Linked DNA regions of Tamandua tetradactyla. The protein of the gene in region 1 interacts with the protein of each later gene in a biochemical or structural test. Links are inferred from orthologs where the notes say so. Each region holds a gene or a part of one and is shown in the gene's direction. Other genes may lie near its edges. The genes, in order: MXD1 and MAX.

Region 1 (16,315 bases):
GAATTCCTTGATGGAGGGATTCCACCTGGGTGGGGCTTCACCCCTCCCCTGGGGAAGGCACAAGCTCCAGATAAGCCCCCAAAAGAGCTCACTTCTGCCTATGCCTGGGGCAGTTGCAGCCTGAAAAGTCCTGCCGCTGTATCCAGAGGCAGTCAAGCCTTTGTAGATACACAGCCACAAAAACCTCTGTTTCCTTATTTTTCCCCCCCTTTTTCTGTTAGTCCTGCCCCCTTGGTGCAGGGGCAAAAATGATCAACCTCTGCTTTGATCAGGTTCACCTAAGCTGGGGCCTATTTTTAGTAGTCAGAATTTGTTAATTAGTTCCACAATTGGCGTTTGATTGTGCCCAGTCCCTGCTCCTGGTTAAGTCCTTTCCTTTCCCCTCTGGGAAGCGGCCTGTGGGGGAGGGGCGCTGGCCACCGCAGCTTTGGGAACTCACGGTTCTGGGGGGGTGCTCCAGCCAGTCCAGCTGGTCCAGTCTGGGGTACGCTGTGTGTCCAGTCACTATCGTGGCTCCGGGAGCTGTTCTGTACTGTTTCTGGTTATTTAGTAGTTGTTCTGGAGGACGAACTAAAATGTGCATGTTGTTAAGCCGCCATCTTGACCTGGAAGCATCCTACCTCATTCTTAAATGAATCTGGCAGTGTATCTATAGGATCATACTCTCTGATCTAGACATTTAATGTATCATTCCTTTTTTTTTTTTTTAATGTTTCTTTATTGCTTTTCTCTAGGGTAAAAAGGTGGATGGCTCTGTCAATGCGTATGCCATAAATGTATCTCAGAAGAGGAAGTACAGGTATATAGACCTCCAATAATTATGTTTGAACTAATGATACAAATAGCATTCTTAAGAAAGAATTTCATTATGGGATAATCATGTTTGTAGGAATTGTAGCAGTTTTCCATACTGTCCCTTGTTTTACTAGAGGATTATCTTCCTTGCTTATATTCTCATGTATTAAAATTGTTTTCCAGTTTACCTGTGAGCTCATAAATAAAATAGAGAAGGGTAGTTGGCCTCAGTGTTTTAGGGCATAAGTAGTTATTTCCTCAAAACAGCACAATCTTAAGTCTTTCGACTCTAATTTTATCATAATTAGTAAAATAATTACTAATTTAAAATAGATCCCTCTTGAATTATTTACCAAGATTGATTGTGTAAAAACATAAAGTGTAAATATATTCTTCTATTAAGTGTAGGCATATTTTATTAGTACCACAGATTTGGAACACTCTAGACATGTTCAGACTTAACCTTTCTGTCCAATTTAACCACTGATAAAAGACTAGGATTCCAATTAAATAGAATATGAATAATGTGATTTCAGAATCATCATTGCCGGTCTTTTATAAAATTACTTTCAAATCAGGTCTTATGGGGAAACTCTGAAATCTGATTTATAACTAATTGTTGCAATATGCTTTTGAATTACTTTTTTTGTGTATCTGTTATTTTTCACATTAAAAAAAAAATAAGGTCCTACAGGGAGAACCATACAGTGAGTGGTTTAGTTTGCTTGATGGGTGCCTATTTTAGAACTCTTTTCTATTTCCTTAAGTTGAGTGTTACCTAAAATGTGCTACCTGAAGTGAATACAAGTTTTCAAATTTATTATTTTTTTAAGCATGTAGAATCTTCCCAAATAGTCTTGAAAGTTTGTATTTTGTAGTTTTAAAAAAATCTGAGGGCAGCCCACAGTGGCTTAGCAGACAGAGTTCTTGCCTGCTATTCCGGAGACCCGGGTTTGATTCGCAGTGCCTGCCCATGCAAAAAAAAAAAAAAAACAGATCTTTAAGACTTTGGCTTATTTCATTGGTAAAATATTCTCTTAATGTGCATTAAATAGCACTTGAATAGTTCTTACCCTAGACTTTGCCATTTTAAAGGTGGTTTATAGGTTTCATGTCTGAAGCATGTAATGATGTTTTCTTACAAGAGTCCAAAATTTTTTTTAATAAACTATGAATTGTCTTTTCTCATCACAGGCAGTACATGAATCGAAAAGGTGGATTCAACAGGCCTTTGGATTTTATTGCCTGAGAATTGAAATGTTGAAGAATGTTTTTTCCCTCATCTTGGTCAGAAGAATGGATTTTATATTGTGCATTTAGTTTACATCAAAAACAGGATCTCAGTTCTCCCTCCTCTTAAAGTAAGAAAATCTTATTTATGAAGTGTGCAGTTCACTTACCTGCCTCAAAAGAAGAAAAATTAAATATTACATTTTTTTCTTTTAGGAAATGTCATTTGGGTCAATCGTCAACCCCATTTTGTTTGTCCTTATTCCTGTGGAAGCTGTGTATGTTTTCTTCTGCTTGTTAGAACTTTTTAAAAAAACATGGAAGTAATTTGGATGTAAGTTTCTCCAATAAAGCAATATTTCTACTTTTTTGTATCTGTTAAATATTTTTATTACTAGGTAAAAACATCTCCCTAGACATTTTCTGTTTTTTCAGATATGGTTTTAGTAGTTTAAAAATTGGAAGAATGAAAAAGTATTACTTTGGAGTTTTATATCTCCTGTTTCCCCGCCCCTCTACCATTTATTATCTGTTCCCCCCTGCAATTATACAAAGCAATGCATACTCATTATTAGAAAAATAACTTGTGAGAAACCGAAAAGTAAAGTCAAAAATCACCTGTAATCTGACCCCCAGAAATAATTTGTGTTAATATTTTAGTGTATATCTTTCCAGGTTCTTGTGGGTATGCATGTATATTTCTTGCCCCTACCTATCAGATCATACTTTGCTGTTCTTTCTCTAACTTTTTACCCCCTCCTATTTATTGAGAACAAATTTTTTTACGCTCTTAAATAATTTTTTTAAACTTAGCTTTTAATAGTATTTAGTCGTACCATAATTTACTAAGTAATACTTATTAATGACCATTGCATTGCCTTCTATGACTTCCTATTATAATTAAAACTGTGGCTAGTATCCCTGTTATATATATCTTTTTATATCTATCTCCTCAGGCTCAACTCCTAGGCATTGTTGGGTGAGATAAAAGGGTGTATGTTGTAAAGCTGTTGATAGACGTGACTAGAAAGGTTATAGCCAACTCTTACCAGTAAAGTATGAGCATTCCCATTTCATGTATTTGTACCAATGTTGGAGATTGAATTTTTAAGAAGTTTCCAGTCTGATAGGTGAAATAATGGTAACTGGTTTTAATTTGTTTAATTTCTAGGGAAAATGAACAGTTTAAAAATGTATTAACTGGGTGGGCCCCAGTAGCTCAGCAGGCAGAGTTCTCACTTGCCATTCCCGAGACCTGAGTTCGATTCCCATTGCCTGCCCATGCCAAAAAAAAGAGTACTAAACATTTGTATTTCTTTTGTGAAATGATGATTCCAAGCCTTGGATCCGTTTATCTTGTGGCAAGCATTTATTTTTCTTATTTGAAGGAAGCTCTTGTTAATATTGAGGATAATAATCATTACCCATTTTTTTCATTTCTTCCTGGTATTTCAGGCTTCTGTAGCTGGATTTTAAATTTTCATATTTTTGAGTAAGTTCTACAAATACATGGAACATAATTCAGATGGTACAAATGGTATACAGTGATGAGCTAATTGTGAATCCTTTTAGAGATCCCACACATACACAAACATTATATATATGTTATTCAAATGAAAGCAGACTCTACACACCATTCTGCACCTAGATTTTTTTACTTACCAGTATATCTTAAGATTGTTATCAGTACATGAAATAGCCTCATTTTTTTAAAATATGTGATCCACTGTAGTATGGATTATAATTGATTAATCTCCTGTTGAAGGACATACAAGTTGTTTCTTATCTTTTGCTATGTTAAACAATTCTGCAAAGACTATCTTTTTACACATATGATTTTACAAGTCTTTGGCTAGATATTAAAATCTTTATTATACCTGAAATTTGACCACCCTATTTAAAACTTTCCTGGCAGATTAGTTGCCTATAAAGAAAATAATAGTAATATGACTGCATTGTATGGTGCAGTATATAAAGTGCTTTGATTATTTAATCCCTGTGAGACAGATAGAGCAGATAGTATTATCTCCATTTCCTAGATAAGAAAACTGAGACTTAGAGAAGATAAACGACTTGCCAAAATTCAGATCCTGAAGATCAATACTGTTGGCATTCTTACCAACTACTGCTTTCAGTGCTCACGTATTTGAATATGCTATATCATTTGCACAACTTGACGTTTCCATGGCACAAGTGTCACCACTCCAGGCAGGCAAATTATTTTGCTTGGACTTTTGTCAGTAGAGCTAAGTAGACTCCTGATGCCTCTACAACCACCACCACTACTGCCAAGTATTCTATATCTGTAAATCATCTGTGACAAGGACTATCTCACCATATTTGTGCATACTGAAGGAGCACAGACTCAATTGTTGTTTTAAAGGGTAGCTAATCAGGGATAAAATACTATACCCCAAACCAAATTATGTTTTTAGATTGTCATCATCATTGTGGTGGTAGTAGAAATTTGACTTAAGACCCTCAAGGCAGCATACTGTGTCAATAAATAATTGGAGAATACCTTGTAGGTCAATAGGTTTCCTTTCAAAGAGGAAATCTTTGAAAATCCAGAGAGAAGATACCTCTGATCTTAAGGGAAGTCTTAGTTTGCATGAACTTGTATCCATCAGATCATTTGATTCTGGAAAAATGACAAAGATGAAGCATCCTTGTCTTTCTCCTCTAACAAGTATTAGCTCTCAGAGGACATACATTTTGCCAAATCTTCTGTTTTCAAGTATCTAAATGTTAGCATGCTCCAGGGTTCAATCCTTGGAAACTCCCCGATTTCTCCCTCCGTGAGTCTTCCAGACCTGTAGCTACAAACATCTGCCTTCACTCTCAAATTTCTACTTCCAACCTGACCATTTTCCTGAATTCCTGTCTTGTACACCCACCCAGAAGATTAATAGGCACCTCAAATTTAAGGTAAAGTGAACTTTCATTTCCCTGTCCAACCTTCTCTGAAGATTCCCCCATTTCAGTAAGTGGCTTCTCCTTTCAGTCCTTTGCACAAACCAAAATCCTTGGAGTCATCCTCAACTCTTCTTTTACTCCCATGCTCCACATTGGATTCATTAGTGAATCCTTTTGGTTCTAAACTCAAAGTATATTTTAAATCTACTTTTCACCACCTGTACCACTACCACCCCAATCTAAGCCACCATCTTTCTCACCTTTTCTACTGCAATAGCCTCCTGATAAGTCTGTCCTTCTCCTGCTTTTGCTGCCTCGGTTTATGCATCAACAGTGGAGTGTCAGGTCACATTGCTCCTGTCTCCCACAGTTTTCCATCATTTAGAGTAAAGTCCAGTCCTTACTTGACTACAAGCCTCTATAAGATCTAGACCCTGATTCCAGCAGGCTCACTGTGCTCAGCCATACTGGCTGGCCACCTTCCTGTTCTTTGAGAACAAATGTGTCTCTTTCACAGTCTTTCCATTTGCTCCTAGAATTCTTCCTGGAATGTTCCCCTTCCTCCCTATATTCACATGGGTAGCTTCTTTAATCCATTCAGGCCTTGCTCGAACTGGGGTTATTTCTGACCACACTGTCCAAATTAGCAAATCTTTCTTCTATCTCCCCTCTTTTTTTTTAATATTTAAAAAATTAAGATAAAAATTCACAAATCATAAAATTCATCCTTTTAAAATATACAGTTAAAGTGGTTTTTTACTGTATTCACAGAGGGGTTCATCTATCACTATTATCTAACTCTGGAATATTTTTATTTTCCTTATCCTGAAAAGAAACTCTATATCCACTAGCCATCACTCCCCATTCATGTCCTCCCATCAACTCTTAACAACCCTGATCACCTTCCGACTCTATGGCTTTTCATATTCTGGACATTCATATAAATGGAATTATAAAATATATGGACTTTTGTGGCTTTTTTTCACTTAGCATAATGTTTTCAAGGTTCATCCACATTGTAGCATATATCATGGATGGATGATATTCCATTATATGGATATACATATTTATCCATTTTCCAGTTGATAAGACATTTCTATTTTTTGGCTATTATGAGTAATGCTGTTATGAACATTGATGTGCAAGTTTTTGTGTGAACACATTTTCGGTTTTCTTAGGTATTTACATAAGAGTGGAATTGCTGGGTCATATGGTAACTCTGTGTTTTAACTTTTTGAAAACCGCTAAACTTTTCCAAAGTGATTACACCACATTCCCACCACCAGTGTATGAGGGTTCCAGTTTCTCCACATGGTTTGCAAATCCTCCTTTACTTTTCTTCACAGGTTATACCACATAGCCTGACATATTCTATATCCATTTATTACTGTCTGGCTCTTCCACTAGACAGCGAACACTGAGAGGTGGGGCTCCTGTGTCATTCACTGCTGTAGCCCCAACATCACTCAATACGAGGCAAGTAAAGATTGTAAATATCGATTGAATTTGTGGATATAGTTTTTTTTACTTAACCATTTCCTCTGATTTTCATTTTAACCTTTAGCTACCCAGGTAATAAATACATTTTTTTTTTGTAAAATATTATGACAAAGCTAAGTCCCCTTTGACCTGCACCATAATCCTGATCCTATTGTCCCACTCCACTGTTAATCCTTTGCAGTGGATACTTCCAGATCTTTGTCTACACATATATGTATGTAACAGAATTTGAAATGAGGGATGCATAGTTTGGGTTTGCTTGTTTACATTGCATCACACTATAGAAATTATTTTACAACTGAATCTATGCCCTGAAGATCTTTCCATGCCAGGATATGTAAGTCTACTTCTTTTGGTTTTTAACTGCTACATGGTGTTTCATGGAGTGATATGCCATAGTTTACTTAGTCATTGCTCTATTTTTCAAATCACAAATATTTGTGGGGTGATTTTTTCAAGTATCATTTTTAAAGGCTTTAAAAACTTAGTATCACAGTATTGGATATCATGATATTGAAGTCTTCCAAAGTAGCCACAAAGAAAAGGTTTGGTATTAGTGAAGCAGAAATGTCCAGTCCTGATTTTTACACTTTGAATAAAAAATTTCCCCAAACACTTATGAAACAAAATTAATTTTAATGTCATAAGGTGTCAAAATCAGTAATAGTGTTTTAATTCCCACAGTTTGGGAGCTTTTTTGACATTCAAGGATTATGTTACTATTATTCCCTGCCACTGAGGTACTCATGAAGAGGTTCTCAGTAGAATTCCTCTGGCATTGAATAACCTGCCACACACTTTAGCTTGGCATTTACTTTTAATATACTATCCTCTGCCCACCTGGAGTATAAGCCCCTCAAAGAAAGGAGACTGAATAAATCTCTCAACCTTTAAAGAAGTACAGTGAAGTTTAGCTGACAAGTCTTTGTGCTTCCCCACTTTCAAATGGATTTATCAAATTCTATAAGTTTATTTTAATTTTATTTAATCAAAAATATAAATTATCTATCACCTGTATTTATGCTATTACATATAGCTTTTTACTTAAGAATTCTGTTCATAAAATTCAGGTTCAAACATTCTGGAATTCCCAACTTTTATTTTGGGGGTGCTGAACCCATCAGTCAATTCTTACTTAATGCCTCTGAGGTGCTAGGTGCAGGGGTTCATCACTTTTTTTGTTTTAGATTGTGGTTTTTTTTTTCAGTTCTTTCCTCAAAACTCGTACTGTCAGGAACAACTAAGTGGTCATTGTATACACTGTGAAAAATAATTTCTAAGGAAAAAAACCCAAACCTTTGTTTTATACTTACACTGCTTCACCTCCAGTAGGTGGCACCAAATACCCTTTGGAATTTTTTGTAATTCCTTCCTACTTTTGTGTTGCTGGCTAATTGTAATTTCTCCTGAGGCCACAGAAGAGAAACGATCCTTCTTTTAGTTTAGTACTCTGATTTTGATATAACTTAGTATTTTTGTTTGGAGTTTAAACTAGACTTTTGTTGGTGTTTAAATTATTAACTTATCTCTGACTCCAGATCTCAACCCTTTTCTTGTGTGAGTGTGTATGTGTGAGACAGAGAGATTCTTTCAATAAGGGGAAGGATAATGATGATGAATTACAACCTAGTTTAAATTGCAGTGCTGAGAGTAAGAGAGAAAGAGTAAAGAGATGTGTTGAAATGTTTATAATAAAATCAAAGAGAAAATATGAAAGTATAAAAAATCCAGTATGTTAAGATCATGAAATCAAAGTGTTTTTACTATTGTCAGTTTTGGTGCTTTGGTAGCATCACACCCATATAATTACAATTTTCAAATTTGTTTTACAAATAAGATGCAATTTTAAAAACTCTGTAAAACTGTTATATACCCATTTTCATTTCCAACTTTGTTTTATGCTTTCTTGAAAAACTTTACCTTCAATATGTATATTTAGTGTTTTCATGAAGAACCAGCTTTTAGATCCAATTAACCACTGAAACCAGGAAATGTTTTCTGTTTATCAGATGTAGTTTATTACATATTAATTCTGTTGAGTTCATTTAATTTTAATGGTGCCAATCATTAAAAAAGCAGCAAGTTAAAAATTTCTCGTCCTGATTACAGTAACTTTTTCTTTTTCCCCAGTGTTTCTAAGTCTCAGTGTTTCATGACTCAAACTGGAAATCTGTTCAACTGTCTTCCCTCCAGTACAGCCAGGACAGATCAGTAACCTGGTCTGGGTGAGATAGACAAAGTTTCAGTTTTCATCTCTGAGGCTGACTGGATGACTGGAAAAGTCACTTAGCCTTTCTGAGCCTCAGTTTCTTCATTTGCAAACTGTAGATAATTAAAACAACCTACCCAGGACTAGAGATAATGTAGGTAAATTACCTAACACATTAATAAGCTGCCATAATAATCCATGGCAACAATAAACTAAAAAAACTGTGAAATATGTTTTACTCATTTATTTTTTAATTTCAGGACAATTTACCAAGAGCTTAATTTCTGCCTTTTAAATTGGCGATGTCAGTATATTAACTAAGTAACTTGGGTCTCATGAGAGTTTTCACCTCAGAAATCCTTAATCTACTTTTTATTTCTGTCGCTGTACCGTTCTATTAAGCATTTATATGCCACCCACACACACACAAACACTGATAGCCATTTTCAAAAGGTAGTTTTGTGAATTTTTTCATCTCGAATTAAAAGGTAGAGACCCTAAAAGAGGTTTAAGTAAAAGAATCTCCGAGTTCAACGTTATTTTGTAAGCACAAGAACTTTCTCCACTTTTAACACCCACTCACGTGAGGGAGTAATTAATTATACCATCACTTCCCAGAAAAAAAAAATCTCCTCTGGCGAGGAGCTCAACGCCGGTTACACAGCCCGACTCTGCTGTCCGAGCAGAGGAAAATAGGGACCGCGAGCATTTAACGCTAAGAGGCGCTTCTCCTCAAACCCCACAGCCACGTGGCGCCCGCGGGGCCCAGAACCACCGCCTCCCTTCAGGAGGATTCGCGGCGGAGCCCTCGGCCGCCGGAAGTTTTCTCTGGGGACGGGTCTGGGCAACAGGTCGAAGCCGGGAGAGGGTGAATCAGCGTCGCCCAGCGCCCGGGCCAGCCTCGCAGCCGATGCAAGACCCTGAAAGGAATAGCCTGGCCGCTAACATCCAGCCACTCAGGGTTCGCCGGGCCGGGAGAAGGGTGACATCATCGTAGCTGGGAGGTTTCCGAAGGCTCCACCAATGGGAGACAGGCGAAGTAGCAACCCTTCTGTAGCTTTTGGCCAATACTAACAAAGCAAAAGGGGGCCCGGTTGTCGGTAGGGAACCAATGGAAAACAGGGAGGGAGCACGAGGCGGAGTTGCGAATCCTGTCACCAATTGGGGAGAGGGGGTGGAGCCCGGGCCTTGTCAAGCGTGCCCAACCAGCGAGAGGAGCGGACTTTGGGGGGTGGGGCAGACAGGCTCTCCCCCAATCGGACAAGGCTGGGGGCGGGGCATTCTTTGCGCTATCCAATGAGGAACGCAGCCGAAGCGGGCCTGTCAAGAGAAGGGGCTGGGGGCGGGGGGGATGGTGAGTCGGGGATAAACACTCCGCGGCGGTGGCGGCTGCTGCTCTTCTCTGGGTTCTGTCACGGTGTCGGCGGTGCCCAGCTCACCGGCCCCCTCCCCCCTCCGGCGAGCGTGGTCATCAGAGAGACCCCCTCAGGCCTGGTCCGCGGGACCCTCAGCTGGGCGCGGGTGTCGGGTGGCGCGGCGGCGAGCCCGTGGGCAGTGGGGGTTGGTCCCGTGGCTCCGGCCCCCGGTGCAGAATGGCGACGGCGGTTCGGAGGAACATCCAGATGCTGCTGGAGGCGGCCGACTACCTGGAGCGGCGGGAGAGAGGTGCACGGAGACGGGGAAGGGCCTGGCCCGGGCCGGGGCTGGGGGCCTGAGGGGACCGGCCGCGGGTCGGGGCTCCCGGCGGCTCCGGGGGTTGTTGGCGCGGAGAGCGCGACGGCGAGTGCTCCCAACCCCTCTGGTCTTCCCACGCGCGGTCCTCAGGGAGGCCACCGCTGCCCTGGAGGCAATGAATGGGGGTGCGAGCGGGGCGACCCCCCTCCCCGGGTCCCTAGCGCCGCCCGTCCCGCAGCCCCTCGCGAGTGGGGTGCCCGGGGGGCCCTCAGCCCGGCCCCTCGGGTTTACCTCACCCGGGTTCTCCCGAGCGGTCCCCAAGTGGGCCTGGCGCCCCGTCGCGCCGCCGCGCAGGAGGAGAGCCTCCCCTGCCCCCGGCTCACGGTGTTCTCCCCGCACCTTCCCGGAGGCTGGTCCGGCTTTTCCACTCACCAAACTGCTGGACGGGCTGAATGGGAGAGCCGGGCTCGAGGAGCTCAGCGACTTGCTGGGTCTCTCAACAATGAGCAGCTGGAATCCTCCTAACACCTGCTCCGAACTGAGGGTACTCATTCAATTAAAGAAAAAAATCATTGTTCTCAGAAGCCCACCTTGCCCCATTTAATTATTTCCACAATATTCTGTTAAAGAAAAAAAAATCGAAAAAGAAACACTGTGGAGGAGAGAGAGTATTGAATGTTCTGGGTTCATTCATTAACTGAATCCTCCGGTTTTCTAGAAGCTGAACATGGTTATGCCTCCATGTTACCATACAATAACAAGGACAGAGATGCCTTAAAACGGAGGAACAAATCCAAGAAGAATAACAGCAGTAGCAGGTAATTTGGTAAATATTTCTTTCTCTTTTAAATTATACTGTAGGTAACACAAACTGCAGGGTGTAAGTTGCCAGTTATGATTATAACCCTGTAAATACATTCAGTGGAGATCGTAATTCAGTAATGCACACATGGTCCTAAGCCACTGAAGGAAGCAGCCTTTCTGTTTGGATTGAAGGGACTGAAAAGAAAAGAGAAATGGAAACGTTTCCTATTTCTTTATGAGAGCTTTTTTTGTTCCCCCCTAATTTTGCTTTTCATCCCTTTTGGAACAAAAATCTGTGGAAGCTTCAAGTGAGATTGGCAACGGTGACAATATTTTGCTGTCAGATTCAGGACAAGTTTATTATAATTGAAAATGCTGGACATTTTCAGTTTCTTTTCCTAGTGAACATTTAAAACAGTTTAAAGGCTCTGACTTGGCATGGATGGTAGGATTTCATATTTCACATACAGATTAAATGCAGTGGTTTGATAATATAATTATATCTATAGCGACACGGAATTGTTGAGATTGAAGGTTACCTCGGTGGTGATGGAGAAACATATAATATTAAAATATTACTGTGCCACAACCCTTTCATATTAGCCTTAAAAACTGCCTTAATGACTAGGATAGAGCCTACAGTTTACCACAGATCATTGCATTTTTAAAACTTTTTTGTTGAAATTGTTAAAATACCTCTTGTTTAACAAATAATACTAAGTGCACATTTCAAAAGTTTATAGTGTACAGCTTGATACATTTTCAGAGGTTGAAAATGCCCATGTAGCCAGCACCCAGATCAAGAAACAGAAATGACCAGCCCCAAGAGGGCCCCTTTGTGCTCCTTACCATCACTACCCACCCACCCCAAGTGAAACAACTAACCTGATGACTAACAGCATAGATTAGTTTTGCCTATATTTGTACTTCGTATAAGTGAGAAAAAATATATTGTGCATTCTTAGGTGTGTCTGGCTTCCTTCACTCAACATTATGTTTGTGAGATTTATTCATGTTGTTGCGTATAGTTGTACATTATTCATTCTCATTACTGTCCAGTATTCCATAGTGTGATTATGTCTCAATTTATTTACCTATTCTAATGTTGGTAGGTATGTGGGTAATTTCTTATTTGGGCAATTACAATTAGCCCTGTTGCAAATCAACTAGTATTCATTTTTTTGGTAAGCATACAGGTGTATTTTTGTTAAGTATATTTATTACTGGGAGTGAATTTGCTTGGTCATGTGGTTTATATGTGTTCAACTTCATTAGATACTGCAAATACTTTTCCAAAGCGTTGATTAACATTGCATTTTATTTTTGTTTTACTCTGATTCTTATTCCAGTCAACCTTTTACATATCTCCTTTTCCTCTTGGATTTTTCTTTCAATGTTTAAAATAAGTAAAAATCAAATTTTTCTGAAGAAAAAATGCCTTACAGTTCTTAAAAGGTGTGAATCTCACTGGAAAGTATTTGGTTAATGGTCAATGAAATTACATATTAAAGTCGTAAGTATAGTTCTTGGCACATATAAATGCTTCATCAATACTGTTGCCCTTTCTTTCCCTTTTTGCTGTTATAATATCATTTGACTAGGAAATCTGTTCTAAAAGTTCCATTCAATTATGCCTTTCATGCTTGTAAATTAAAATAACTGACATTTTCTTCACTGGTTTAGAATCCTCGTCTTCCCCCATCCCTACTGCATAACTCCCTCCAAATAAATGTATTGGGTAGCCTCTGTGGCATAATACAGACCACTAAAAGCCAGGAGTTTCCCACTTAAACCCTAAAACTCCTTCTTGCTGTCTCTCCTGTCCTTATTTCACCCATTGTCTTTGGTGTTGGTGGAACCACAAGATGTGAGTAGCATACATATGCTGCCTTCTTGAATAAGAAGGATGAAGGATAAGCCAGGTGAAAACCAGGTGGTTTTTCCTTGCTTTGCCATCTTTAACATTACCTGACGAAGGAGGTAGCCAGTAGGTCTGTGCATGCAGAACTAAGACCCCTTAAGAAGAATGTTATTACTGGCTTGTATTATGTAATGGTATGAAAATGATTAAGCTATGTTCCGTTTTGTTACAGTATCTTTAAAATTTTGTTTGGAAGAACTGAGGCCTTTCAGTTCGTTTTTCTGGAAAAGTGTAATCAGTTTGTTGTTTTTATTGTTCATTCAGGCTTTGAGAGGCATTGTCCACTTTGATCTTCAAGGCTTAATACCTTAACACTTTCTTTTTCCTAAGTTTCACTGGGACATTGTGGAAGGAAGCTCATTCATTGGTGGGGAGAGGAAAAGGAGAGGGTGTTATTGAAGAAAAGTAACTTGGTCCAACAGGGTGATTAGGAAAGAAAAATGAGAGTTGAGAATTTCAAGCCAAGAAATGGAATTTTTTTTTCTGATGAGCATTAGTCTTGAAAAATGGCTGCAATTCCTGATTTTTGACAAAAGCTTTATTACTTCTGTTAATGGATTTGATTTGCTTTCCATGTTTAGAGATATGGGGCTAGTACAGTTGTCCCTAATCTTGACTAATACTTAATGTAACATCTTCAGTGATCCCTGAGAAGCCATGATTAAACCTGGAGGTGTTACCAAGTAAATATATGAAGCAAGAGCAGGTTGTTTTGTTGAAATGTGATTATTTCCTTCACGACCTGTTTGGAATAATCCTTACCTGAGCAGTGAAACATCTCAACAGAGAATGCATTTTGTACCTTTGATTTGAATTAGACTTACAACCAAGGCCATGTGTGGTTAGAATTCTGAACTAAGGCAAGGAATAAGGAAAGATTACTGCTGGCTTACTTAACCATTGGATAGCAGTTTATTCTTGTTAATTCAGGTTGAAATGTTGTACTATTTGCTTTAGAGTCTAGGGGGTATTTCCCTTGGACATTAAAAAGACTTAACCACATATCAGACTTCTTGGGAACTGAAAATGCAGATCCTAATCAAGTTTCTCCATTTGCTTGTTTAAAAAAAAAACAGCAAAACCAAAATCATAAATATTGATTGTTTTGGAATCATCCAGAGAACTGCTGGAATACAGGGAGATGGAATCTTTTTCTTTTCTACTGATTTTTAAAATCAGTTGCTAACTATTTAGAAGTGAAATCTAGAATGATCTAAAATGTGTTTTGCTAAATTAATAAGGCTAGTCTTGGCACTGATGTGAAAGAGGAAGTTTAAGACTTGCTACCAGTTTTTTTAAATGACAGTGGCCACGTAGCTGACTTGACATTGGGAGTGCTTTTGATCCCAAGGACTTCACCCATTTTTCAGATACTCTTAAATTGGCTTATGTTATCTTTTTTGTTAGAATACATTTTTAAACGGTAAAATTTAACCTTTATTAATGATTCCAGAATTAAATCCATTCAATAATCACATGGCAAATCTTTTGACACAAGGTATCTATGTATTAGAAGAACACTTCTAAAGCTTTAATTAAATCTAAATGTTACATCGATAGAGGTGGCAGGCAATCTCTGAACTGATCATTTTTAGAAGACCTGCTTTTTATTAAAGGTCAACTCAGTGTCAAAGCAAATGTACCTCAGTAATTACCAGTTATTAGGTATAACCCCCCTTAAAAAATCACCATGTTTTCAAAACTCTTTAAGTAAACAAATAAGATCTGTAGTTTCCAGAATTCTATCCAAAGCTTGAGAGGAATTGTGCTTCCTAAGGAATGTGTTTTAAAGTTATTTTCAAAGCATCCAGAATTTTTTGGTAAAATACCCAGTGTGTTATTTTTTTATTACCAGAGATAATGTTCCTTTCAACCTCTCTTTTCCCCTCCTTCTCTACTTCATTTAGCATGGAAATCTTGTCCATAGTTCAACAGGGAAATCTTGATCAGCTACTGTCATATGCTGTCATCCATTTTAAAAATCTGCCAGACTTTGAACTTGTTATTCAACAGGTTATTAAAGCAAGTGCCATGTGCTTTAAAACCAAAGGTTTGCAAGCAGGCCAGGTTATTGTTAATCCTGCTGGCCATTGCAGGAAGTAAAAGCCTTCAGAAAAATGTGACTGAAGAACACTGAGGAAGGGATGACCAAAAAAAAAAAAAACAGTTTAAAGCTTTTAAGTTAACCAGTTTTAACATCCACATATCCTTTATCTAGAAAATCAATATTCTAAATCTTAAATACTATCATTATTTTCTTGTAAGTTTCCCTCGGAATAAAAATATCAGTATCACAAGGGCCTGTAGATAAGAAGCTTTAGTGCTGGATTAGAAATTTCCGAATTCCAGAGCAACCCCTACCCCCCCAACCCCCCCACCTCACCCCCTGGCACTGGTCCCTCATGTGAGTAAACTTGGGCCTCCCTCATGTAAGCGAGTGGCTGAGCATTCACAAGGTAATGTTTCTCCATAATTACTGTGAGAATTTATCTCCTAGGCCCTTAAGGTTCCGATCACAGTCACGGCCCCACAGAATCCACAACCTGCACCAGGGAGTAATCTCCTGCGCTGGTCGGATTCCAGGGAGTTTCCTTAAGAAAGGTCAAGATTCAGCTCCTTTATAATGCTGGGAGTTTCCTTGAGCTCCCCAAGTAGGGAAGAGCTGTTTGAGGAAGGACACTATAGTGGCCATGTTGACTGACTTCTCGTGACTTTTGCAGAGACCTGTCCATAAATTCTTAGACCAGACCTTATGTTCCAGTTCAGCTATAAAAACGCTAATGTGATTTCACATCCACCACAGATGAAAGCTCTTAAATCACTTTACAGTTGCTACTTCATTGATCCATGCTTGTTCAGTAAATAATTGCCTATTATTTTTATTCCCATATTACAGAGGGGTTAACCAAAGACAGGATGGTAAACAATTTAATTTCTTCCACAGTACCAGTCAGTGACAAAGCTGGACTTCAGATTTCACCCACTACTGCTTTAACCAGCCAGTTGTCTTTATGCTGATCTGAGTTTTGGAAACTCCTTCCTAAAATCATTAGGTAGCTGTTTAGCAGTAGCATCTTTCAGGAGGTTGTATACGATAAGGCAGAGTGATAGGGATGGATTCGGTGGTTATTTTATCCATTTTAAACTATTTCCTGTAGTTAAACAACTTAACACAAAATTATGGTTTACTACACATAAAAAAAATGCAGGTCTGAGGTGGGGCTGCCACCTCCACTGTTCTACCTTCAGCCTAAAGAAAGCTTTCT
Region 2 (17,006 bases), on another chromosome or scaffold:
GTAAATCAGAATACAAGGTAAAGGATGATAATGTTTATATTTTAAAACTTAACCTGTGAGATCAAAGGAAGAGATGTTTTGTACAAAATTTAAATTTTCTATAACATACGATTTAACTTCAACTATTGGTCTGTTCACTTAAACAACCTAAACACATTGAAGCTAGAATAGGAAATGAGATTGTGTAATTCTGTGTAGTTTAATGTAATACCCTGATACATTCCAGAGTATGTTGGGCAGATAATAAAAGTATTTGCAAAGTCACTTGAGGTACTGGAGAAAAAATATCCCTTGAGAGACTGGAGAAAAAATATGAAACTATGAAATTTCCCCACCTGGGGGAAAATATATCAAATGCATGAGTCTATTACTGAACTCTCAATTCCATACCATTGATGTGTATGTCTATCTTTATGCTGGTACCATGCTATTTGGAGCCCAGTAGCTTTGTAATATGCTTTAAAATCAGGTGTTGTAAGTCCTCCATCTTCATTGATCTTTCTCAAGATTACCCTCACTGTTCCAAATAAATTTGATAATTGGCTTTTCCATTTCCTCAAAGTAGACTGTTGGAATTTTGATTGGGATTGTGTTGATTCCATAAATCAATTTGGGTAGACTTGACATCCAAGCCGCTTTTAGTCTTCCAATCCATGAACACGGAATGTCCTTCCATTTATTTAGGTCTTCTTTGATTTCTTTTAGCAATGTTTTGTAGTTTCTAACTAAAGGTCCTTTACAGCCTTAGTTAAATTTATACTTAGATATTTGATTCTTTTAGATGCTACTGTAAATGGAAACTTCTTCTTTGTTTCCTCTCAGATTGCTTATTAGTAGTATGTACAAACACTACTGATTTTTGCATGTTGATTTTATAACCCACCACTTTACTTGCTTGTTTATTAGCTCTAGTAGCTTTGTTGTAGATTTTTGGAGACTTCCTAAATATAGGATCATGTCATCTACAGATAGTGAAAGTTTTACTTCTTCCTTTCCACATGAATATCTTTTATTTCTTTTACTTACCTGATTACTCTAGCTAGAACGTCCAGGTTGAATAACAGTAGTGACAGTGGGCATCTTTGTCTGCTCCACATCTAAGAAGGAAAGCTTTCAGTCTTTCACCACTAAGTATGTCAGCTGTGGGATTTTTATATGTGCCCTTTATCATGTTGAGGAAGTTTCCTTCTATTCTTATCTTTCGAAGTCTTTTAATAAAAAAGCATGTTGGATTTTGTCAAATGCCCTTATTACATCAGTCAATATGATCATGTGTTTCTTTCCCCTTCAATTTTTTAATGTGATGTATTACATTCATTTCTTTTCTTGCTTTGAACCACCCTTGCATACCTGGAGTAAAAGCCACTTGATTATGGTGTTAAATTCTTCTAATGTGCTGTTGGTTTCAATTTGCAAGTATTTTGTTGAGGATTTCCTCATCTATATAGCATTACAGATATTGATCTGTAGTTTTCTTTTCTTGTAGCATCTTTATTAGGCTTTGGTATTAGGGTGATGTTGGCTTCATAGAATGAGTTAAGTTGTGTTCCCATTTCAATTTTTTTAAAGAGTTTGAGCAGGATTTATATTAATTCTTCTTGTACTGATTGGTAGAATTCACCAGAAGCCATCGGGTTCTGGACTTTTCTTTATTGGTAGGTTACTGGTAACTGATGTTCACTTTACTTGTGATTGGTTTGTTGAAGTCTTCTATTTCTTCTAGAGTCGATGTAGATTTTTCATGCATGTTCTAGGTTGCTAGCTGCCAAAATGTGATATGCTGGAAATGTAATGGCTTTTTAAAAGGGGAATTTATTAAGTTGATAGTTAACAGTCCTAAGACTGTGAAAATGTCCAAATTAAAGCAAGGCTATAGAAAAGTCCAATCTAAGGCACCCAGGGAAAGATACCTTGGTTCAAGAAGGCTGATGATGTTCAGTGTTTGTCTTTCATCTGGAAAGGCATATGGTGAGCATGGTGACATCTGCTAGCTTTCTCTCTAGACTTCTTGTTTCATGAAGTTTCTCTGGGGACATATTCCTTCTTCATATCCAAAGGTCTCTGGCTGTCTGGGCTCATGGCTCTCTTGCAGCTCTGTTATCTTCCCAAAAAATGTTTCTTCTTTTAAAGGAGTCCAGTAAACTAATCAAGACCCACCTGGAATGGGTGGAGTCACATCTTCCTCTAATTAATACCCACAATTAGGTAAGTCACATCTCCATGGAGATTATCTAATCAAGTTCCCAACCTATAAAGTGGATAGGGATTGAAAGAAATGGTTGCTCTCACAAGATTGAATTAGGATTAGACCATGGCTTTTCTAGGGTACATAATCCTTTCAAACCAGCACAGTGTGTTTCTAGAAAATTGTCCATTTCCTCTAAATTGTCTAATTTGTTCGCCGAAATACATGAGGTACATAAATATTTGTGATTGTTATTTCTTCTTGGTGAATTGCTACTGGGCCATGTCCCCCTTTGCTCATGGTAAGGTGGACTTCCATAGCCCTCACAATCCACAGCAGCCCACCAGGCATGGACAAGGCCATCCTGAAGCTGCTTGCCTCCTGGATGGGGGGTGAGCACTGGAAGCTATATGAGTTACTCACAGTTTTTCACAACAGTTTCTCAGTCTCTTAGTCCTGTTCCTCCCTGGATGTCACAGTACTGTCCTGGTCGCTGAAGCCCCAGAACAGTTGTTTCAGTAAGATTCTGCCTGTCAATTAGCTGTTTTAGAGAGAGGAGTGAGCCCTGAAACTCCCTATTCTGCCATCTTCCCGTAAAGTTCTCTCCTCCATCAACAAACTTCTGATGTATACTAGGAAACTAACCCTGACATTAATGAAGAAAACTTTGTCTGCTGGCTCTTTCTGACAAAAGCTATGAACAAAGGCCTTTGGTTTTCTGACAAAGGAGTCAAATTAATTCAAGGACAGGGTAAGGTATAGGCTAAACACAGATTGGCCCTTGACATTATTCACCTCCTCTCCACCTTGACCCCTAAATCCTCAAATTGGTGAAGTGGCATTTTGAGAATAATTCAGGGCTGGGTATTATTAGCAGAGACCAGCCTACCAAGCACACCATGTGGAGCAGGACCCAAACAGTAACCTCTTAATTTCCCATCAGCCCTAAGACGTTCAAATACAGGCTCTACTTAGCCCTCCTGGCAAAAGTGAACCATCTTCATGACTTTTTTCCAGGTATTTCCAGAATAGTTCACTTGTCCATGTGGTTTATAGACTATGACAGGATTGAAATGAACAATTCCTAGGTAGATACACAATACACCTAGCCATGCACCATGCTAGGTAGCAGGGATCTGACTAGGAACAAGGTGGGTAAGGTCTCTGTTTTAGTTTGCTAAACATGCCAGAATGCAATATATCAGAAACAGGTGGCTTTTATAAAAAGGATTTATTTAGTTTCAAGTTTACAGTACTAAGTCATAAATATGTCCAAACCAAGGCACTCAAAGAAGGATAACTTGACTCAGGAAAGGCTGATGGCACACAGAACATTTCTGTTAGCTGGGAAGGCACATGGCTGGTGTCTGCTGGTCCTCTGGCTTCCGGTTTCAAAACAGCTTCCCCGGGGGTGTTTTCTTTCTGCATCTCCAAACATCTCTGTTTGTATCAACTCTGAGCTTTTTCCAAAATGGTTCCCTCTTAAAGGGCTCTAGTAAGTAGATTAAGGCCCACCTTGAATGGGCAGAGGCACATCTCCATGGAAACCACCTAATCAAAATGTCCTACCCACAACCTCCATGGAAATAACTCAATAAAAAAAGATCCCACCAAAACAATAGGTCTGCCCCATTAGATTGGATTAGGAAAAAGAACACGGCTTTTTTGGGGTACGGAACAGTTTCAAACCAGCAGTCTCCAACCTCAAAGAGCTCACAGTCTGGTGGCGCCATTGTCAATAAACGAGTAAACACCAAATAAAAACAGGTGGTGATAAATGCTGCTGATCTTAGACAACAAACTACAATAGCCTCTCAGAGACAAGGTAAGATGACCACTTGCAGAGTTGGGAAACTGGAGTCCAGCCAGGTACTGCAAGCACAAAGATGATGCTGTAACCAGGAGGAGGCCACAAAACACCAGGGAAACCTGGGGATAGTGTGTGAAGGCAGGAAGTTGAGAGCTGAGGTCAGAGTGGTGACCAGGGGCTAGACCCCGTAGGCCTTGGAGGCTGGGTAAGGAACCAAGCCAAGATCCAAGTTACCATCTTAAACAATCACTCTGGCTGTTTGGGTGGGGATTGAATTAGAGTAGGGACAATGAGAGGTGGGAAACCAACTTCTCTAGCTGAAAAATGATTTATTAAATGCCTCCTGTGTGCTAGGCTCTTTAACTAAGATGAGGCAGTACAGACAGGAAAAAGTAAACTGAGCACAACATGTTCTGAAAATGGATTCAAGAGGCTTACAGTTAAGGGGTATTGAGGGGCTGGGGGAGGGACACTGCTGAGAGAGAAAAGGAGGATTGAAAGGTCACTACCAGTTTAGGTAGTTGGTTTAGGTAGCTGCGCAGATGGTGGCACCAATTTTGGGAACAGGAAGAGAAAAGACTGGTGGAGGATCAGGTTGGGGAAGGGTGGGAGGACTCAGGAGTTGTTTTGAAGAGGTAAGTCTGAGATGTTTAAGTGACTCTAAGAGACGACAGTTGTAATAGTTGTGAGGAGGGCTTTAAGAAGATGTCTGAATTAGAAGGACATCAACATATAGATGACAATGGATGTGTTCACCCGGAGGAGAGAATTGAGCTCCAAGGACTTGCAGCTCCAAGGACTTGCAATCAAGTAGAGAAGGAACCACTAAATCAGGCAGTGAGGTGGGAATAAAACCAGTAAGTGAAAAACTCTGTCCTAAATAAAGCTATCACAAGTAATGGAACTGATTCTTGAGGAGCTTACAGTGAATCTGGTGCGGGAGAGAGACGTGCAAAAAGGAAGTTACAAAACAGAACAATAAGTGCGTGAGAAGAGAAGTCGCAGGGGGTATGGGAACAGTAGATGGGTACTTAATCCAGCCTTGGAGAATCCAGAAAGATTTCTTGGAAGTGGTAACAGCTAAGCCCCAAAAGATGAGAAGAACTTGGGGGTGAGTAGGAATTGTTTTGGGGTAGATACTACTCAGGGCAGAGGGAGCAACATGTGGAAATCCCTGGAGGGAAAAGACAACCTGATCCTTAGAGGGGTGGGGGTGGAAAGCAAGAAATTCTGCATGGCTAGAATGTGGAATGCAGGAGCTGAAAGATGGGGCTGGCAAAGGAACTAAATCATGAAATGTCTCGAAAGCCAAGTTACAGCGTCTGGGTGTTATCCTGAGGGTATCGGGAGGTTTGAAATATTTTAATCAAGGAAGTGAACATATCTCATTCCTGATAGGTCGCTCTGGTTAAAAGGTAGAGAGTGGGCAAGAGAGGGGTGGGATTGGAAGCAGGGAGATTCTTTAGGAGTCTGCTGTCCAGGTGAGAGGTGGCAGAGGCCTGGCTGAGGCAGGAATTACAGTGGGGGATGAAAGGCTTGGAACCCAACAGCCTTGCTGACTGACTGGATGAGAGGTTAGTGGGTTAGAGAGGGGTTTGAGGGTTTAAGATTGCCAATAATTAACATTTTGGTCTACCACCCTGAATTTGGAACCACTTTAGTCAGACACAAGTCAGATAGATAGAGACAAAAATAGAAGCTTTAGTACTGATAAGGCTGAGTTGGCGAATGAGGTTTAACCTGTGGCTTTTCTGGTATTGCTCTCCTGGATGAACTGTACCCACCTAGTCCTAGCACAGCTGGGCAACCAGGCGTCCTCCCCACGGACAGACTTCTTGTATACAGGAGAGTAGGGGAAGTGTGTCTTAACAGCTCAGGGAGAAAAGGTTGAGCTACAGACAACCAGCTTCTCCTCTCAAACTCACCAAGCTGATGAGTCACTCCTCCTCTAAGGGAAAATAAATGAGGGGCAGAGGTGCTAGAAGTATTCCTCCTGTATTTCCCCTTCCCTCTCTGAAAATGTGAGAAAAGGAGGAAAGGGTTCCTGCTGTGCTTAAGGTCCTCCTTTTGCTCCTCGAGATCCCATCCCTCACAACGCCCAGGTCTGAGCTCCTGACAGAGAGCTCTCTCCACACACAGCCTCTGCTCTCCCAGTTCAAGAACCATGCCATCCCTTCTCCCCTACAGGCGTAGGCCTGGGAACAGAGTCCCAGTGGTATCGTACAAACCCCGGTCGTTTCTTTACCTTCTGCCCACATATTTGTAAATAACTTCTTTCTTAACGGCTCCTCCAATGAATCTAACTTAAATATGCCAGCTGGTTCCTGCTGGGAGCCTGGTGCTTACACCCTCCTCCCCCAAATAAGGAGAGCATGAGCATAACATGGGAAAAGGATGTGACTTTATGCCTAAGCACTAAGGCTTGAGAAGTTCGCTGGTTTAGAAAGATAATGAAATGATTAAGATAGTGGCTGTGTTTTAATAGCTCAACTATTTTGGCAAGAATGATACTGCTCAAAAAGGAAGAAAGGAAAGGAAAGGAAAGGAAAGGAAGAAAGGAAGGAAGGAAGGAAGGAAGGAAGGAAGGAAGGAAGGAAGGAAGGAAGGAAGGAAGGAAGGAAGGAAGGAAGGAAGGAAGGAAGGAAGGAAATCACATTTCCCAGAGATAATTACTATTAGTATTTTTGTTGAATATCCTTTTACTAACATCTCTCTACACATACATATATACTCATATATATATGTTCAATTTTCTGTGAATAGATCATCCTCCAAATATTGTGTCAAAACCTGCTTTTCTTCACTCATTAAGTCTTGACTTTTGAGTTGTTGATCGAGTAACCCAAGGAGATATATCCAGAAATAAATTGAATATAACAAACTAGAATTTAAGAGAGCAAAACAGCTTGGGGTCACCACATGAGAGATGGTTATCAATGCCTCAGGAGGCAGATCCTACCAGGCAGAGGGTCAGAGGAGAAGAGGTAAGGGCCAGCCATAGAGCCCCTGGAACTCGCCACTGACAGGGCAAGAAGAACCAGAGGATGGGAACCAGAGCAGCCAAGGAGAGAAGCAAGAGAGTTATTGGCCTTCAAGAAAAAGAAACGAAAAAAAAAAGAAAAAGGAGTGGTCAACATTGTAAAAGGCCACCATTAGGTCAAATAAGATAAGGGCTTTGGATTTAGCAATAAAGAGGTAGCTGTTGGCCTGGATAAGAGCAATTTTAGTTAAGTGATAGATGGAAGTCAAATTGTAAAACAGCTGAGGAGAAAATGAAGGCAGTTTCTCCGTCCCCCACACTCAGTGCCCCCCTCTTCCCACGTCAGAGCTAGTTGAACTCTAATCTGTATCTGGTCCATTGAATTACGGACCACAACTTAGACATGTTCTTGGGCATGATCTGCATTCCTGTGGGTGTGAACCCACTGTAAATAGCATCTCTTGAAAATGTTATTTTATTTAGGGTGTGGCCCAACTGAATGAGGCTGGCCTTAATCCTGATTATTGTAGTTCATTAAAGGCAGAATGAAATTCAGAAGTAGAGAAAAACACAGAGAGGAGCCAGATGCCAAAAGTCAATGGAAGCAGAAAAGAAAGGAGAGGACATCACATGTGACACAAAAGCCAAGGAACCCAAGGATTGCCACCACCAGAACGCTACCACCCCAGGAGGAAGCAAGACTTCCCAGTCTCCAAATGAGAGATAATAAATTCCTGTTGTTAAACCAGCCCTTGTGTGGTATTTTTCTTAACAGCCAGGAAACAAAGACAGTGCATATGGATCACCTGAGCATTTTATTAAAATGCAGATTTGATGTAGGAGATCTGGGATGGAGCCTAAGGTTCTGCATTTCTAACTAGCTGGTCCATAGACCACATTTGAAGTAGCAAGGGACTAGGGAAACTGGGCTATCTATCCAGTGACAAGCTCCAGTCTTGATAAGCTCCCATAGAGCATCACCAAAGAAATTCAAGTGTGCAGAGATGAAAATGCATCCTTAGAGTTCTACATTATTATTCACATCAGAAAAACACTGAAAGGGAAAACCAAAGGAAACTTCTCTGTATTCTTACTTCTAATGTCTTCCCGCATATGTGCCTTGCTCATGAAAGTCCCTCCAACAGAGGAATTTAAAAGTGTTTCTTAATTTCCAATCTTATGAAGGTTTTCTAGTTTATTGTTGTTTTCGTTATTTCTAGTTTAAGTGCATTAGGTCTGAAAACATGCTAAGATCGCAGACCTTTGAAACTTAAGATTTGCTTTATGACTTGTCAATTTTTGTAAATAGTCCATGAGTATTTAAAAAGAATAAATTCTACAATTGTTTGGATGCCAAGTTTTATGCCTATTAAGTCAAATCTATTAATCAGGTTGACAAGTCTTCATATTTTAAACCAATTACTAAAAAGGAGATATGTTCAAATCTCCAGTCTCTCTACCTGGAAAGTCTTTCCTCCTCAGCTCTTCCTAACCCCAAGCATCCACCCATCAAATAGGGATTCAATGGTGAGAAAAATGTGATCCAGTCTCTGAGAACCCAGTTCTTGCTCTGATGGAACTGTCTGACAGCCTAAAACCTCCCTGACCATCCAGAACTTCCCACTCTCACTCCAGATCTGGGAGTATTTCTCCATCCTCTGAGAAAGTACGGCATTCACTACCCAGTTCACTAATTTGGCACTTAAATAATGTCTTCATTGCAACAGCTGTTCATAATTTATTTCCCTATCAAGTTTTAAATTCCAGGAGGGCAAAACTATTTTATTTTTTTATTAATAGATTTAGTGACATAATTTACATACTATAAAATTTGTGCTTTAAAAGTGTATGATTCAGGGTGCATGGGTGGTTCAGTGGTAGAACGCTCGCCTTCCATGCGGGAGACACGGATTTGATTCCTGGACCGTGCACCTATAAAAAAAAAAAGTATGATTCAGTGGAAGACCATCTTATTTGTCTTGGCACCCTCTATAGCAGAGGTTCTCAGGCTGAGAGGTAACACTGGAAACACCCAAAAGCTGACTTAATTAACTTGGAGCATGGCCTGGCCATGGGGATATTTAAAAGCTCTTGGGGTGATTTTAGCAGATTGTCACGGTACAAGGGTTAAGAATCACTGCCCTATAGTGCTTGCACATAGCAGAGACCCGAAAGTGATTTGTTGTCACCTTCAATTAGTCCTAGCTTCCAAAATTTAATTAACTCACCCAAGAGCTATCTTTTTTATCAGCTCTTACCACATAATGGTCTACTTATGCCTGTCTCCCTTAAGAGTTGTGCAAGGAATACAGTGTGAAAGGAAGACAAAAGCATTAAGAAAAACTAAGTTTACTTGTAAATGATATGCAGACTTCAGTAGAATGGATCATTGAACAAGAAATACGATAGATAAAGGAAGTGTAAAGGAGAAATTGCCACATTGACATTTGCCTTTTCAGCATGGATGATACGCTCGCATGGGGAGCCTGAGTCTCACATTCAAAGGTCAAGGGTAAAATGGTTTTTATTAGATAATTAATAATCTATGGGAAATGCTCAAAATTTTATTCATTTTGGAGATCTATGTACAAGAGTAGTTCGGTAATTTTGCTTATCTCAGGGTGGAAAGTGTCTTTCCAAATTGTTTTTTTCTTCCTCTTTACAATGGTGGCAAGGCAGTCTCATTTTTGTTTCCACATCTGTGAGCGGCATTATAAAGATCGTTCCGGTCTTTAATATTATGGCATTCCCATGCTGGCACGTGTTAGGTGTTTAATAAATTACTGGTGGGATGGATGTGATCACACCTCGCACACATTTAAATATGATTTTAAATGGTTTTGAAATTCTTAACTGGGCACTCCCTAAACTGCCTGACTATAACAAACTCAAAAGGGGCTTTTACTTCCATGGAAACAATTGTTGAGAGTCGGAGGTCTGAATGTATGAGCCTCACGTGAATAAAAAGAATGGTCATTCCTGGATGGATGACTACAAGATTCCCGTGGCTGCAAGCAGTCCCAAGGCTAAGCAGTCATCCTGCCCGTCCCTATAGCACCACTTAAGACCTTCCATTGACAGCTCCTCTCCACAGCCGCATCTTGGAATCAGCGTGGGCGTCCGAAATCGCGCCGCCTAGCCCACAGCAGCAGGATTCCCTAAGCAGGCGGGTTACGCCCCAGATATCAAGACAAGTAAAATAAGTCGCACCAAGGAGAGGCAGCGTGATTTGAGGAGCCGGCTTTTCCTCAAGCACCTCCACGGTGTTCCCTGGACCCGGCGCCCTGAACTCAGACGGCGCCCAGCTCCAGCAACCCTCGACCCCTCCACGTGTCCTCACTTCCCAGAAGCCTCCTCTGCTGCCTTGGGAGGAACCCTCCTGACAACTCGCGGTCTGTGGACTACGACTCCCAGCAGGCACCGCGCCGCTTCTCTCTCCGCCCCCTCAACGGGACACGCAGGCGCTCTGGGCCCCATCAACAAGCCGGGCTGGCGTCGACTTCATGCAGTGCCTGACGGGATTTGTAGTCTTTCTGGCGCCGGCTGGGGGGGTCAGTCAAAGGGACGAGAACTACAAGTCGCGGCGGCCCAGACGTGACGAGCTCGGTCACGTGGCAGGGGGCCGACCGGGCGTGCGTGCCGCCGTTGATCTGGTGCTGCAGTGAGGAGGTGGTTCTCGCCCGTGTTGTGTGTGTGTGTGTGTGTGTGCGTGTATGTGAGAGAGAGAGCGAGTGAGTGAGTGAGTGTGAGTGTGTGTGTGTTGTGTGTGTGTGTGGGGGGACTCGGCTTGTTGTTGTCGGTGACTTCCCCCTCCCCTCCACCCCTCCCCCTTCCCCGCCGCCGCTGCAGTGGCCGCTCCCTGGGCCGTAGGAAATGAGCGATAACGATGACATCGAGGTGGAGAGCGACGTGAGTCCCGGGGTTTCTTCCTTCCCGGGCGGGTTGTCAGGCGGGGACAGCAACCGGGGCTTTCAGCCGGGCGACGGCGGGAGGGGGTCGGGCCGCCGCCTCCTCCTTTACCTTCCCTTCCGGGCCGGGACCGCTTCTGTCGCGCTCTGGGCTCACTCCTCTTAAGGCTCCTGGCCGGAGAGGCCTCTTGGGACTAGAGATGGGAAGGTAGACACGCGGCGTCTGGGACCCCCACCTCCCCTCGTGGATGAGGGTGCTACGGCCGCCCGCTCCCAACCTATCTGGTTCAGGATCCAGGGAACAGGGATGGGGTGCTCCTAGGATCCTATTGTCCCGATCCTGGGGAAGAGCACGGCGCTCAAGACCTGCACCCTCGGTCTGCGATCCCTTCCTCGTGACCCTCGGATCCTGGAGAATGAGGGAGGGCGGAGAGGGGTTGGGAGTGCCCAGATGCCCCGAGCTGGGTCCAGGGAAGGAGAAAGTGCTCAGGACCGCTCCCCCCCCCCCCCGACCCAGGTTGGATCCCGGAAGGAGGGGCGGTGCTCGGGACTCCCCCGGCCCCACTACCGGATCCCGCTGATTGGGGAGGGGAACGTGGGGGGGGGGAAGGGGGGTCGGACTGACTCCCCACCCGCCGCTTCCTCTGCCGCCGGCATTTTCTTTCTTATTATTGAATGTGAAGTGTAAAAATAACTTCTTTATTTTCTATTTTTTTCTCTCTTATTCCAGGAAGAGCAACCGAGGTTTCAATCTGCGGTACGTCTCCTACTCTCCATTTCATTTTCATTTCCGTTCAGTTCTAATCCTTTTGGGGTTAGAGAGAAAAATATCGTTCTATTACTTTTAATATTTAAGTAGCCTCTCCTGTTAACCACTAAGGTGAGGTGGGGCCTTGTTCTGGGGTTCTGAATGTGGGGGGAGGTTGCAAATCTCTTAATTCTAGATTCTCAGGTAATAGGTTCCAGTGACTGTAGGTGAGTGGGAGCAGCTGTATGCAAAGAAAGGAATTCTTTCTGTAGCTTTCACATAGAGGGTTTAGTTGACAGAATGTAAGTTGGAAATGAGAAACACTGCTTTCAGCATTCTGAAGTAAATTGTAGGATTATTTCAGGGGAATGTGGTCAGAAGATTTACTTAGAATAAGTAGTATGCAAAACTATATCTGTAGAGTTGTATGAAGCTGAAGCCACATGCAAGTTACCTTAAGTCATGTGACTGTTACAGACTCATAGGATTTAGCACAGCATGATACAAATTGGCAGTGTTCTTAAAAGAGCTAAAGCTTGAGTATGAAAGTGGCACATATAGTTGATTGTGGTCTAACTCTTTTTATATTTTAGTTGAAGGAAAGGTATAAAGAAAATACCAAAATTGTTGAAGAGAGGTGGTATTGGGGAGAAAGGTTTGCTAAGAGGTGATGGATGAGACCACACAAAGTATTATCAATAATTTCTCAGGGCTTTGATATTTATGTTCTCAGTTCTGTAAATTTAGATAGACAGTACTCTCACGTTGGAGAATGAGACAGTACTGTGGATATTCTATGAATAGATTAGAGAAAGAAAAAAGGAAATAGACAAAAACAAATCAGAATCAGAGAGGGGAAGAGAAATAAGGATAACAAAATCTAATTAAAAGTAGGGAACAATAAGAAGTGTATAGAAATGCCTGTGGGAGTCAGGCAGTGAGATGGTCAGGATAAAGTGGTAGAAAGAGGGGAATAGTGGAGCACATACCTCTCCTAAAACGGTGCTACTACTCACTTCCAGTAGATTTTTACCATGTGGGATAAGGGTTTAGTGTTGCCAGATTTTCCTGTATTTCAAGAAATATTGGAGATCTGTACTTTTATGCTGTTTCTCTGATTTTTAAAATGATGTGTGTGGAACAGTCAAGCTGTTTGGGGCTGGTTAGGGTTTGCAGGAGGCCCTTTTGGTACCAGTGGTATATGAATTTAATAACCACAGAATAAAGGAAAGCATTCTTACGTGTACCAGCTCTTCATTAGAGCAAACAGATCTTGCAGATGGTCTAAGCAGAGGGGCATTAGGAAAAATTTTATTTATTGAGAGCTGATAGTTCCTTAAGATCTAAGGATGCAGTTGTTCCAGAAGTCCTAAAAATTGTTCCTGGGTAATAGTCACTAAAAAAAATTTGTTTTGCTTTATTTTTCTTTGAAGCTTTGTCACAAACATCTATTTATACATGAAATAGAATTTGAAAATTGTATTCCTTGTTTTCAATTATTCTTCTTAATAATGTGGACAATTCTATTTAAAATATTTTTTTTTCTTCATAATTATTGTAAGAGCTACCTCAGGGCCTGATTAGGGTCAGAAAGTAGTGATTGGATAGAGCTCTCATAAGCCCTCTTGCGCAGATTCATCCTTTGAATTGGAATTTTTTGGCTTTCTAGTGAGAATAAAGTTTTCTTGGTGAGATTTCAACTTACACTTCTTGAGAACTTTCCTCTTTTTATAGTATTCATCCTCATAGGCTTTGATGTAAACTGGTATATGAAGTTACTGAAATGTTTTCCATAGAATGCTAATCTTCATTTTGCCTAGATGTTTTAATTTGGTGTTAAGGTGACCTAAGAGTTTTCCCTTTTAAATATTACCTGTCACAAGATCATCACAACAGCATGGAGAAAAAGCAGACATGTTAAGGATGAATTTCGTAGTATCTCAAATAATATTGTGAATGGGTAGGGTAGAAAAGGATTCTTCTTCTTCTTTTTTTTTTTTTTGCTTTGTGAATTCATCTCTACTCCCTGAGACTTAGTATAGATAAGAAATATATTTTTAAAAATTGGGAGGGGAGGCTGGCTATTCCTCAGCTTTGCGTTAGGAAAAATGTTCAGAAAAGGGTGTGGACTGAACAACCAAGTATTTAGGACTATAGGAGAACTTTTAAAGTTATTTGAAAAGGTTCTGTGGGTTATAATATAAAAAGAGACACTCATTCATGTTTTATAGCCTCACTACAGTAATTGCAGCCTTACTACATGAGAAATGTAGGATAATCAGCTAGAGCAGACTTAGGAAATGAGGCTAACTGAACAGAAAGTGAAACTGATTTGACGAATATATTTTTTTGTTGCCTCAGTGCACAAGGAAAACAGCTTCTCCAGTGACCAGTAGGCTTTGTTAAAGGAAGTAACCCGAACAGTATTTTTTATTGCTAAATTCAGTACATCACAGAATTCCACTGATGTTATTTTATTTATTTTTCGTTTGTTTGGAGAGAAAGATTGCGTTTTAAAGATAAATTTCTGAAACAGGTATATTTTTTGCAAGGAGTTCTTTATTTCTGTTTGTGAAATTGTCTGTTGGAAAGAATGAAAGTATGTGAGACTTCTGTAGGCTTAGTGTGTGATCAGAAAACCAAAGGCCTTTTCCAACATATTGTTCTTCATAGCAGCTGATTGCATTGCAGTTATAGTATGCTGGTTAGGATTTTAAAAACAGTATTGTGTAATTCTGCTTCTGGACATTTCTGGTATGAAATATTTTTAACTTCCAGAATTCTTTGCTTCTTTAGGAATTGCAGTGTATTCAGAACGGGATGAGGGGTCACTTCTGAGATTGAAATTCACCCAGGAAACTACTGTTTATTTTACCTGGAATCAGTTGCATGGCAAAACTGTGGCACCATGTACATACTTTATCTCTGCTTAGAATGTTGACAATGATGCAAAAATGTCAAGTTCAGTTCCTTAATATGTCTCTTTGTCAGAATAAAGGGTGTTCTTAAGTTTTAAAAAGCCTTTTTTTTTTTCTTAAGATACCACTAATGCTGAAATAGTTGATCAAGGAATCCAACTTGTTTTTAATTAACATTTCCTAACCAAGGCATCCTTCCTCTTAAATGGGTATCATATGATGACATATTTTGATGATAGTCTTCCCAGGTTCTCTTAGGCACCAAATGATAGAAAAAAACCTGAAAACAAACTTATTTATTAGATGATGATGGAAATATATACCAGGTAATTGGCTTCAAGAAGGAGAGGTATTGGGAAATTGAAATTAATATTTTCCTGTTAGGGCTGAGTATGAGTTCATCTTATGTTAGCTGCCCATTATTTCATGTTGCAATTTTCATGTTTATTAAAAGGAATGTTTTAAGTTGACTTAGAAATTGTTTTATTTATTCTGTCTGGTTCTCTTTATCAGATAGAAGTAATAAATTATCTTTACTGATGAGAATTTTAGGCCTTTGTGCTTCCAGTTTTAATGTTGTTAGTGTTTAATAAGCGCTTGATAATAATCATAAACAACACTACCTTCCCTCTAAAATGCAACCTTTAAGTTTCTTAAAGGCAATAAATGTTTAGTGTGCAAGTACAATTCTTTCTGTGCTGAGAATTTTCTGTATTGGAATTAAGAGATTCTCCTTATAGATGGGGTTAGGTATCAGGTAGCCTGAGAGAAATGTCATTGTTCTGGAAAAACTCGTGCATCCATGAAAAATGAAACATTTATTTCCCCATGCTGTTTGCCCAGAATTTGCAGGAAATAAGACTGCCATCTAATATAATGACTTGAATGAAGATGTATTCTCTATGCAGTAAGTTGAAAGGAAATAATTTAAAGAGATATCCCTCAATTTTGAAGAGACCTCCTTAGCTTCGATGATCTTCTGCCAGTTTAGCAGCGTCTTGGTTAATAAAATAATGTTTGCCTTCAACATTTAACAACACTTAAAATATAAATGCTTGATAGTGTCAAAGATGGACAAATTGTAGGTGAAGATTTTTATTCTGGCTGCCAGTGGGAAAAGCTTAATGGAAATAAAACTGAGAGATTTGATAAAAACCTTGGCAGAGATGTTAAAGCTGGAAGCGATTTGGTGCAGGAGTTCCTGTTGAGCATCTGTGGGCCACTCCTCAGTATCACGCAGCCCTTTAGTATTTCTATTAGCCTGAGATGCCCTGAAGATAGAGTTTTCTGGCAGAAACTGCAGATCCGTTCTACTTGAAGAGCGGCAGGGTTCCAGCCATTTGCCCCTATAAGATATGTAGAGGAGCTATTTGGATGCCTGCTCTATATCCCCAGGATAACTCTGTTTTCTCCTAGAATTGTGCCTCAGTGCCTCATTAATTCTACAAGTGTACTGTCAGTACCACCTGCTCTTTCATTATCAAAAATCTTTCTCAGTATAGGCTCCTCTGAGTTGAGCTTTGTTTATTCAAGACACAATGTTTGACCGTTTCCCTTTTGTTTAATTATTTAATTTATTTTACCAGTTTTGGGTGTGTGTGGGGAATCTCAGATATTGCACACCGAGTGTCTTCATCCAGTTTATCTTCCTCAGCTCTGAAATCTTGGCCCCTTCAAAAAGAATTGCCAGTAAGCAAAAACAGTTACAAAGCAGTGATAAGCCTGGCACCTGGCCTTCCATTTGGATGAATGGGGGGGGGCAGGGGCAGAGGTGGGGGAGGCTGGAGGAAGGAGGCAGAGTTATTGGGCTGGTTGGATCTGTGGTTTGGAAACGTTTCCCCAGACAGTACTCTCAGCCTTGTGTAAAGGTTTTTCATGCCACTAAAGGTATCGTTCAGTTCAGAGTTGCCTGGAATTAGGCATTAGTTCTGCATATTTCTAGCTTGGTCTTTCAAATGAGGATTAGGCAGGAGGAGACTTCATCCTTGCCATCATCTCCAAGAGCTTTAAAATGAACTCTGTTTAGGCGTTGCAGCTTGGAGATAGACATAGCAGCAGGGATTGGTCTAAGATTCCACTCTTCTAGTTACATTGGGCCTGGAACCACCACAGAAATTCCATCCACTACTTTGAGAACATCATTCCCTAGCCCAGGCTTTCTACCACGCAGTGAACTGCTGCCTTTCCTTGTTGAGCCAACTTCTCAAACTTGGCTGGCTCTCCAGATAAGCAGCCAAGATTTCTGCTGATGGTCCACAGCCAAGTTCACTTACAGTCCTCTAACCAAAAGGTTTGTTGTCCATTTGAGTCCTTTCAGGGCTCAGTGAATGGGAAGGGGGTAGTGCATTATGCAGATGATTTCAGTGCTAGATTATACTTCGCCCCACCCCTCTAACCCAGGCTTCATTGAAACCAAGTCCAACTTGATTCTAGCTGTTGGAGATTTGCAGGGCTTTC

What was found.
Region 2: the proteins of MXD1 (region 1) and MAX form a complex in vitro, tested with the Homo sapiens proteins (4 studies listed by BioGRID, with this or other methods). The link is inferred for Tamandua tetradactyla from reciprocal best matches to the Homo sapiens genes MXD1 and MAX.

The regions. Positions count from the first base shown.
Region 1 is NC_135343.1:43,425,803-43,442,117, forward strand, and holds the start of MXD1 (max dimerization protein 1), read left to right. Parts: upstream 1-9,987; 5' UTR 9,988-10,242; coding exon 10,243-10,315; intron 10,316-10,659; exon of another isoform or gene 10,660-10,868; intron 10,869-11,042; coding exon 11,043-11,142; intron 11,143-16,315. Other genes in the region: SNRNP27 (U4/U6.U5 small nuclear ribonucleoprotein 27 kDa protein), read left to right, coding at 735-799, 1,990-2,044. UniProt on the Homo sapiens protein: Component of a transcriptional repressor complex together with MAX. In complex with MAX binds to the core DNA sequence 5'-CAC[GA]TG-3'. Antagonizes MYC transcriptional activity by competing with MYC for MAX binding.
Region 2 is NC_135338.1:22,365,363-22,382,368, reverse strand, and holds the start of MAX (protein max), read left to right. Parts: upstream 1-10,549; 5' UTR 10,550-10,848; coding exon 10,849-10,884; intron 10,885-11,613; coding exon 11,614-11,640; intron 11,641-17,006. UniProt on the Homo sapiens protein: Transcription regulator. Forms a sequence-specific DNA-binding protein complex with MYC or MAD which recognizes the core sequence 5'-CAC[GA]TG-3'. The MYC:MAX complex is a transcriptional activator, whereas the MAD:MAX complex is a repressor.